2 linked regions of the Caenorhabditis elegans genome follow. The protein of the gene in region 1 interacts with the protein of each later gene in a pairwise test. Each region holds a gene or a part of one and is shown on either strand. Other genes may lie near its edges.

Region 1 (6,827 bases):
CTCTTTTAAATACAAAGTACAAACTTTAATTTCAAATAGAAAATCAAGGAAATGAAGAGAAAAAAATCGATATTTCAAATATGTTCAAGATTCACAGATTTTTCACAGAGAGGCAAATGAGAAAGGACACGTGGTGCCGGAGGCTGTCCCATCATGGTTTGATCTACAAAAAATGCGGGAATTTTCCGTCCAAAAATATGTGACGTCAGCACGTTCTTAACCATGCGAAATCAGTTGAGACACAGAGCGGTTTTTACTACGTGGCCGTAAAATAAGAAAACTCGGCCACCTTCATAACATCGATACGGAACATTTTCTCAAAAATCGCCACGGTGGAACTATAGAACCCCCTTTCGAGAGTATTCTCGTCAAGTTTCAAAAACATCCCACGTCAAAAATCCCAGATAAATCATTGGCCGAGTTTTCGATTTTTCTAGGCCACGTAGTAAAAGCCGCTCTGTGGAGAACTCTGCGTCTCTTCTCCCGCATTTTTTGTAGATCAACGTAGATCAAGCCAAAATGAGACATTCTGACACCACGTGAAAGGATTCAAAAGTTCGAGAACGACTGCTGCTGCTGCGGCGGAAACTGATTGACACGATGCCGGTAGCCGCCGCCTCCGGTTACCGCCGATGGTGACAAAACGATAGACGGATTCTGATTCGGATTCGGAGGCGGAGGAGGAGGAACAAAGCTCGGCGGAGACGGACCAGCAGCGACCATCGGAAGCGGTGGCGGTGGTGGCGGAGCCGAAGAGAACGGAAGCGGAGGAGGAGGTGGTGGTGGAATGTGAGATGTAGTAGTAGAAGAAGTTGTCGGAGGAGGAGGTGGAGGAGGAGGAGGTGGAGGCTTGTGATGAAGCCCGAGAGCAGAGAATAGAGTACTTTGTACATTAACAACCACTGATGGTGGTGGTGCCGAACTGACTGGCACGGAGGCCGGAACCGGAGCCGCTGGCTGTGCTCGCCAGCAATCTCCAGAGAATGGAGCTTGTGGTGGTGGCAGTGGAGGTGGTGGAACCATCGTTGGAATCGGCAGCACTGCTGAAATAATGATTCTTCTTATTTGGGGATCCGACTCATCGGAATGTCTTGCCAGTAGGAATTGGAGTATCAATTCGGACGCCAATCGGTGGAGGTGGAACGTTCACCGGTGGAAGGACGATTGATGGAGGAGCCTGGTGCTGATACGGAGCCATTGGGGGCGGTGGAGCATTGAAATGTTGCATAGGTGGGGGCTGAAAGAGAAAGTAGACTTAAATTGATTGATGAATCCCAGGATTTCAAGGATCAGATCAAGGATCACACGTGGCGTCAGGCTGTCTCATTGCTGTTTGATCTACAAAAAATGCGGGAATTTTCTCCCATGAAAATGTGACGTCAGCACGTTTTTAACCATGCGAAATCAGTTGAAAAGTCTGCGTCTCTTCTCCCGCATTTTTTGAAGATCTAGGTAGATCAAACCAAAATGAGACACTTTGACTTCGGAAAACCGAAAAATTGAAGAAAATCGAAAAAAAATTCAAATTTTTATAACGGGACTATTAAATTCTGAGAATGCGTATTGCACAACATATTTGACGCGCAAAATATCTCGTAGCGAAAACTACAGTAACCCATTAAATGACTACTGTAGGTCGATTTACGGGCTCGTTTTTCAAAAAGAATTAATACAATTTATTTGTCGATAGAATATTAAAATTTTCGAAAATCGAGATCCCGTAAATCGACACTACAGTAGTCATTCAAGGGATTACTGTAGTTTTCGCCACGAGATATTTTAATATGTTGCGCGTCAAATATGTTGTGCAGTACGCATTCTCAGAATTGAAAGAAAACAAATAACTTTATAACAAAACAAATAACGTCTAAAAATAAGAAAAATGACCAAAATTTTGGGGAATCTTTCAAAAAAAATCGAGTTTTTTTTTGCTGAGAAATCGAAATTTTTAGTTTTTCGATTTTCCGTTTTCCGGTATTTTTTCTCAAAAAAAAGTGATTTTTCGGAAAAAAAAAGCTTTTCACTAAAAAAATTCCGTTTTTTTAATATTTTTCTGAAAAAATCGAAAATTTTCGTTTTTCGATTTTTTTTTTAGATAAATCAAAAATGTATCACTTTTTTATCTCTTTACTGAAAAATGCCGTTTTTTCTCTGAAAATTCGAATTTTTCGTTTTTTGATTTAAAAAAAAAATTTTTTTTTGAAAAAACCAAAAAAAACCTTTGTTTTTTGATCTATTTTTCTAAAAATTGGTTTTTTGATTTTTCTGGAAAAAAAATGAAAAATTTGTTTTTCGATTTTTTTAAAAATAAATCAAAAATGTTACTTTTTTTGAATAGTTTTAAATGAAAAAACCAAAAATTTGTCGTTTTTTGACAATTTCTGAAAAAATGAAACAAATTTGTTTTTCGATATTTTTTTCTATCAAATCAAAAATGTATCACTTTTTTTATCTTTTTACTGAAAAAATCCGTTTTTTTTCTCTGAAAAATTCTAATTTTCCGTTTTTTGATTTTAGTCATTTTTATATTTTTTTTACTGAAAAAATCGTTTTTTTTTAAATTTTTTAATTATTCGTTTTTAGATTTTATTCTTTTAAAAAATCGAAATTTTTCGTTTTTTAATTTTTTTTAAATCTAAAATTTTAGGGGGTTTTTTAAATTTTTACTGGAAAAATCTAAATTTTTCGTCTTTTTTTTTTTCAGAATTTTTTGTTTGTGTTTTGAAACTTTTTTTTGAATTTTTTTTTTCGGGGAAAAAAATCAAAATGTTTTGTTTTTTTTTAAATTTTTTCTGAAAAAAAAACCAATTTTTTTCCAAAAACCGGGCCTCCAGGCTTCCACAAAACACCTACATAGGCCATCATATTCTGCTGATATAACCCCTGCTGGGGATGCGGGGGCGGTGGTGGCGGTGGTGGAGCATAATGGTAGACTTGTGGAGCAGCAGCTGGAGCTACTGGGTAGTAACTGAAAAAACTTTTTTTTTAATAAAAAATAATTTTTCTGGAAAAAATTTACGAATAAGGAGGTGGCTGAATTGGTGGAGGTATAGGTGGTGGTGGTACTGCCATATGATACACAACGTCTGGTTCTTCCTTTTTTATCAAATCTGGTGATAGTGAGCAATCCGAGACCAGCTCCATTTGATCCGATAAATCGTCCCGACTGAAAATTAATATCTTTTTAAAAAGAATATCTTAAATGAGGGTTTCATCGAACAAATTTTTCGATTTTTCGATTCCCTGGGATCCCGAAAAATTGCAAAAAAGAAATTCAGAAAAATCGACAGTGGTGTTAATTTTTTGAAAAAAAAATCGATAACACATTTATTTTTTTTCTTAAAAAATTGATAAAAAATCAATTTTTTTAATCGATAAAATATTGATTTTGTTACCAATGTTGATTAATGTTCATTAAATTGAAAAAATTGTTAAAAATCGATATTTTTTGTTTAAAAAATCTAGAAAACATTGTTTTTTTTTGTTGAAAAATCGCAAAAAACAATTCAGAAAAATCGATTTTTTTCCTCGAAAAATCTGAAAATTATTTTTTTTTTGTTGAACAAAAAAGAGGATAAAATATTGATTTTTCTGAAAAAAAGATTAAAAATCGGAAAAATATTGATTTTTTTTAAAGAAAAAATGATTAAAAATCGATTTTTATTCTGGAAAAATCTATTTATAAATTATTAGTTTTTTTGTTGAACAAAAAAGAGGATAAAATATTGATTTTTCTGAAAAAAAGATTAAAAATCGGTAAAATATTGATTTTTTTAAAGAAAAAATGATTAAAAATCGATTTTTATTCTGGAAAAATCTATTTATAAATTATTAGTTTTTTGTTGAAAAAAAGGATAAAATATTAATTTTTAATGAAAAAATTTATAAAAATCGATAAAATATTGATTTTTTTATTGCAAAAAATTTATAAAAATCGATAAAATATAGATTTTTTTTATTGCAAAAAATTTATAAAAATCGATAAAATATTGATTTTTCGGTGAAGATAGAAATTATCGATTTTTGTTAATTCCTATCAAAAATCGATAATTTTAATCAAAAATCGATATTTTATACCAAAAATCGATATTTTTAAAATTCAAATTATCGATTTTTGATGAAATTTATCGATTTTTCATGGAAATTATCGATTTTTGATATTTTCTATCAAAAATCGATAATTTTAATCAAAAATCGATAATTTATATCAAAAATCGAGTTTTTCAGAAATAAAAATTATCGATTTTTGATAGAAATTATCGATTTTTCATGGAAATTATCGATTTTTGATATTTTCTATCAAAAATCGATAATTTTAATCAAAAATCGATAATTTATATCAAAAATCGAGTTTTTCAGAAATAAAAATTATCGATTTTTGATAGAAATTATCGATTTTTCATGGAAATTATCGATTTTTGACATTTTTTTCACATAGGATTCTCTAATTCATTGATATTCCAACTCTCATACATTTTAGTTTTCCGATCAATCTGGCTCAACAGCTGATCCTTAAACGTCTCCATCAGCTCATTCTTCAACTTTTTCGAGCAATCCTCAAGCGCCTTGTCCAACCCAGTGCCAAGTGTCTCCTCCACTTTATACGAACTAATTCCAAAATTTCTCGCAAGTTGCTCGATGAGCTCCCGTCGATTCACGGCCGCCTGATCCATCGAAGGCCCAGGAGATCCGGGAGGAGTTTTCGGGCCTCGACGAGGCCGTTTCGGATAACTACCACCATCAGAATCGACGGCGGGGCTCGGTGGGGTACGTGGGCCGACGTGGGCTTGCTCTGAAGGGAAAAAGTTTTTGAGCCATTCCCTGGAGAGCTGCTGAACCTCGTCTTCGCTCATTTTCTCGTAGCCCAGCGTCCCGCAGTTCTCCATTTTTCCCAGCAGCATTTTGTAGCCGAGCAGCTTGTCAACCATCCCCTGCCGATGTATAAAATCACTGATCGTCGAGTCTTCATTCCGGAAATTCCTCAAATTTGTCGCAGTCAATGGCAAATAGTCCCTGATGTGTTGAGCCGGCTGTTGCTCTTTTCTCTTGGCGGCTTCTTCCTTCCGCCGAGCCAGCTTTTCTCGTTGCTCCTCGTCAATATCGTGCCAAATCCGATCGACAACATCCGTCTCCTTACGTGGAGCTCTCACATGAGTCTGGCTCGTCGTCGGAATGGCGCTGCTCCGTGGCCGTTTTCGTAGAATATTGTGCAATTCTTCTGGTGGCGGTGGCGGTAGGACTTGTTTCGTTGGTGACGGGCATGGTATTCCTGAGGTGATTGATCGACGCCGACTAGGTGAAGGTTCTCCCATTTCTGAATGAGATTAAGTTATAATAGGTGGAGGAGAGTCGAAAAAATTTTATTTATTTATTTTAAAAAAATTTTTCTGTTTTTTTTTTTTTGGCAGAAAATAGACTCTAATGACCGAATATGACTGTAAAAAAACTAAAAAATTTTTTTTAATTTTTGAAAAATCAAAAATGTGAAAAAGCACAATTTGCCGGAAATTTTTAATTCCGGCAATTTGTCGACTTGCCAGAAAATTTTCAATTCTGGCGATTTGCCGATTTGCCAGAAAGGGTCAATTCCGGCAATTTGGCGGAAATTTTTTTTAAATTTTTTTATAAATAACAGAAGAAAAAGTTAACAAAATAAACCGAAGAATTTAGCCCGAAAATAAAGAAAATGAATTTCCGGCAAATCGGCAAGTCGACAAACCGGCCATTTGCCGGAATTGAAATTTCCGGCAAATTGCCAGAATTGAGCATCTCCGGCAAATCGGCAAACTGCAGAAATTGAAAATTCCGGCATAATCGGCAAATTGCCAGAATTGAACATTTTCGGCAAATTGCCAAAATTGAACATTTCCGGCAAATCGAGAAGTTGCCGACAAAGAAAAATTACCGGCAAATCGGCAAATTATCGAAAATTGAAATTTCCGGCAAATCGAGAAATTGCCGAAATTAAAAATTTCCGGCAAATAGTCAAATTGCCGGAATTGAACATTTCCGGCAAATCGGCAAATTATCGAAAATTGAAATTTCCGGCAAATCAACAATTTGCCGAAATTGAAAATTTCCGGCAAATAGGCAAACTACCAGAATTTAAATTTCCGGCAAATCGGCAAACTGCCAGAATTGAGCATCTCCGGCAAATCGGCAATTTGCCGAAAATGAAAATTTCCGGCAAATAGTCAAATTGCCGGAATTGAATTATTCCGGCGAATCGGCAAATTACCGAAATTGAAAATTTCCGGCAAACCGGCAATTTCCGCGATTTGCCGAACGGCAATTGCCGCCCAAATTTGAAGAAAAAAAAAGTTTGACTGTACCTTTAAACTAAAATTTTTAAAACCCAAAATAGTAGAAATTCGGATAAAAAACCGAAAAAAAAAACAAAAATTTTCCAAAAAAAAAAGTTAAATAATTTTTATATTCAATGAGGTAAGGGAGTTCAGATGCAAAATTCGAAAATTGTATGTGTAAATTGGTGTGAATAGCTCAAAAGATCATAGAATAGAATACACGTGGTGCCAGAGGCTGTCCCATTACGGTTTGATCTACAAAAAATGCGGGAATTTTTTTTGTTGCAAAATGAGTTGAGAACTCTGCCTCCATTTCCCCGCACTTTTTTTTGTAGATCAACGTAGATCAAGCCGAAATGAGACACTCTGACACCACGTCAGAATTGAATTGAAAGAATTTTTCGAGAAAAATCAAAACATATAAAGTGAGGAGATTTTCAGAGATAAAGGCACGGTTGTTCGGGTAGGAAGTATTTAAAAAATTGCAAAAAATGCGTGGGTGGGTGGGCTAGAATTGAAAAA
Region 2 (2,932 bases), on another chromosome or scaffold:
GGAAATTACGCAGAATGTGAGAACTTTCTCAGAACGAGTTGTAAATAAATTTTATATAGATATAAAAATGCAGATGAAACACTTCGTAAAGTAATATAAAGTCCTGGATTTATGTTTTATGGGGACGAAAAATTGTGTGCCAAAAACGGAATCCGGTCTCAGCACGAAAATTTTTCGTGAAATACAAATGCGTATTTTAAGATTACTGTAATTTCAAAATTTTGTTTCTTTCGAGTGTTTTTCACGATTGCTTTCTTACAATTGGGAAAAAATTATAGAAACGCGTACGAAAAAATTTCCTGGTTGGAATTCGGATCATAGTGGAGCCAGAAGATCCTTTTGAAATATAACTTATTCGCTGATTTGGAAAAAGTTATGAGATGAGAATGATGGTCTGGTAAAATGTCCTCAAGAATGCATGTAAAAAAGAAAACGAAGAGTGAGCAAGTTTTGTGCGGAGCCTTATTGAATATGAATGTGTTTTCCCCCTTGCGATTATTATATGCAAAGTTATGAACAGTGTTGTTTTTGTTGGTTTAAAAAAATATCATCGTATAATAATTTAATTAACATTGAAAAATTAATAAAAACATATTGTGTGGAGAAGGTTTCTTTTTGGATTATTCTCTTCGAGGTCGGTGATTATTTGATCTATATCTTCTTCGAAGTCTTCAGATCTTTCGAGCTTTTCGCAGAGATCAGCTACGAAGAATGCTCCAAATGTAGCTTCTTCTGCGTTATCTTCAATGTCGATGTTGATAACGTGGACTGGGTTCCCAGATTTACCAACGCTGCGGTTTAAGAAGTCTACGACCTGAATAATTTTAAAACATGTTTGCGTTCATTTTTTTAATCAACAGACCTGATCGAAAACTCTTTCTTCCAAACAAAGAACAATGTCGAATTCACGAGTTTCTGCTTGAAATCGCTGTGGGCGAGATTTGATTCGTCGATTTCGGTCAACCATATGAAGAAGTCCGTTTTGTGTGTATCTGAAAATATTCAAATTGGAATGAACAACAATTTTCAGAATATTATTTCAAAACTTCGAAAAAAAACTAACAAGTGAAGATCTTTGTTTGTTAAATCCGCATAAATGTCTTCATACGTCGTTGGCCCAAACTCATAACAATTGGGCTTATCTACTGTTGGTCCTGGCATTTTCACTTGATTTCCAGACCCATACGATTCGATATTGAAGCCACGTTTTCTGAAAAAAAAATCCTAGAATTCTCAGTTATTTCAATAGCTTACTTTAAGATGCCATGTGCTTCCATTGAACGATTCATATTACTGGAACAACTGACCGCAAAACGAAGTTTTGATGAATACTCCATTCTGAAAACATAATATTTGTTGAAAATGCATCATTTGAGAACAAACAAAAATGAATTGAGTAAATAGGTTTTTAGTAAATCTCATAATATATTTTTCGATATAATTTTGTCAAAGAAAGGGCAAAAGACTAATAATTTGGTGATAAACTGAAGAAAATAAAAAAAAATCATTCAAACAATAATCGTCCGAGAGGAGTACGCGTCCATAATTTTCTAGGCCGCCGCATGGAATGTTAGGCCCTCATTGATGCGGGTATTCAAAAATAGTTTTTTGCGGAAAATGATTTTTCTTTAAAGGCACGAGATATACGAAAATGAAGAAATGAATATTTACAAAATATTAAAATTTTGAGATTTATTTATCGAAACAGAAAAACTTGCGAAACCTACTTCTAAAACGCCGACTTTATATGAAAAGTTACAAATATTCGTAAATACTGTAAAAATCCCAACGCACGGTCTCCTCGGGTGGAAACAAAGAAGGAGGGAGATTGCTTGCGCGTTTCACCGATGCGCCTTTCGCGTGCTGGCGCATTTCTGGATATCTAATTATTTTTGCAGAAAAAATACATTTATGTTATGAATTTTTCTTGAGAAAACAAAGGAAAGAAGATGAAATGAATTTTTGAAATAGTTTTCTCAGTTAAAAAGAGAATACCTTGCTGCAAAAGGTTAAATTTATTGAAAAATTGAGAAAATAAGAAGTTTATCTTTGTTTTCACTACATAAAGTGGGGAACTCTCAAAAATTTGAAGACAATTAAGAAATATAATTAAATATATAGCCTGAAAGCCAAATAAGAAATGAAGGTTTGGTCACAAACAATTTTATCTTTGAATTGAAGTTTTGAGAAATGATCATGTGCCAGAATCACCAAATGTGAGACATTCAGCCCAATTTCTTTAATTTTCTGTGGTTTTATCATGGAAGTGTGGCTTTTTCTGTGATCTTGTCAGTTTTTAACAAGTTGAAAATGGAAAATCGTGAAGTGGGAAACTAGCAGTGAAGCTTTCAAAAATTTCAAGCCTTACTGAAAGGAAAGTATTGGAAAGTAAAAACGAAAGCTTAAGAAGATACCGTTTTTATACATTTGAGTTTTGAAAAGCCGTAACCTAGGTTTTAAATACAGTTTCCTCAAGAATTCAAACTTGTAACGATTAAGTTGAGGCACAGAATATGATGGTAATACTAAGTTATGTTGAAAAAAGCCAAGAAAGACTGAAAACATTGCTTTATACCTGATTTTTTGTAAGTAATGTAATGTTGAAACATTATTCTTCATAGTTCAGCACTTTGTATGGCTTATTTGAGCCCAAACGTACAGTAGTATGTGGCAAGAAATAAAATACTGTGCCAACAAACCTGGGGCCGAAAAACCCATGATAAAATGTTTTATACGTGTATTGTTTCAATAAAATACCAAATATCAACTAGATTCACTGTCTTGACTCGTTTAATTCAGATTAATAACTTTTAGCTTCTCTTTTTAACGAAAAATTATAACTGAATTTCACAAAAAGAGTTCGATCTGAGTTCTTTCAACAGGTACATAGACGAATTATATCTTAAAATGACGACAAAAGTTTGCTCTATAA

Evidence for each region. Proteins that work in one complex are often made in the same cells at the same time.
Region 2: the proteins of sydn-1 (region 1) and ssup-72 interact in a two-hybrid assay, tested with the Caenorhabditis elegans proteins (one study listed by BioGRID).

Annotation. Positions count from the first base shown.
Region 1 is NC_003279.8:2,376,540-2,383,366, forward strand, and holds sydn-1 (Synaptic defective enhancer 1), read right to left. Parts: upstream 5,313-6,827; coding exon 4,474-5,312; intron 3,167-4,473; coding exon 3,020-3,166; intron 2,969-3,019; coding exon 2,854-2,968; intron 1,238-2,853; coding exon 1,096-1,237; intron 1,044-1,095; coding exon 550-1,043; downstream 1-549. UniProt on the Caenorhabditis elegans protein: Acts as a negative regulator of nuclear pre-mRNA 3'-end processing (mRNA polyadenylation). Plays a role in tissue-specific expression of protein isoforms by regulating differential processing of pre-mRNA 3'-end (alternative polyadenylation).
Region 2 is NC_003280.10:6,775,482-6,778,413, reverse strand, and holds ssup-72 (RNA polymerase II subunit A C-terminal domain phosphatase ssup-72), read right to left. Parts: upstream 1,339-2,932; 5' UTR 1,338-1,338; coding exon 1,255-1,337; intron 1,211-1,254; coding exon 1,064-1,210; intron 993-1,063; coding exon 863-992; intron 815-862; coding exon 581-814; 3' UTR 525-580; downstream 1-524. UniProt on the Caenorhabditis elegans protein: Protein phosphatase that dephosphorylates 'Ser-5' of the heptad repeats YSPTSPS in the C-terminal domain of the large RNA polymerase II subunit ama-1.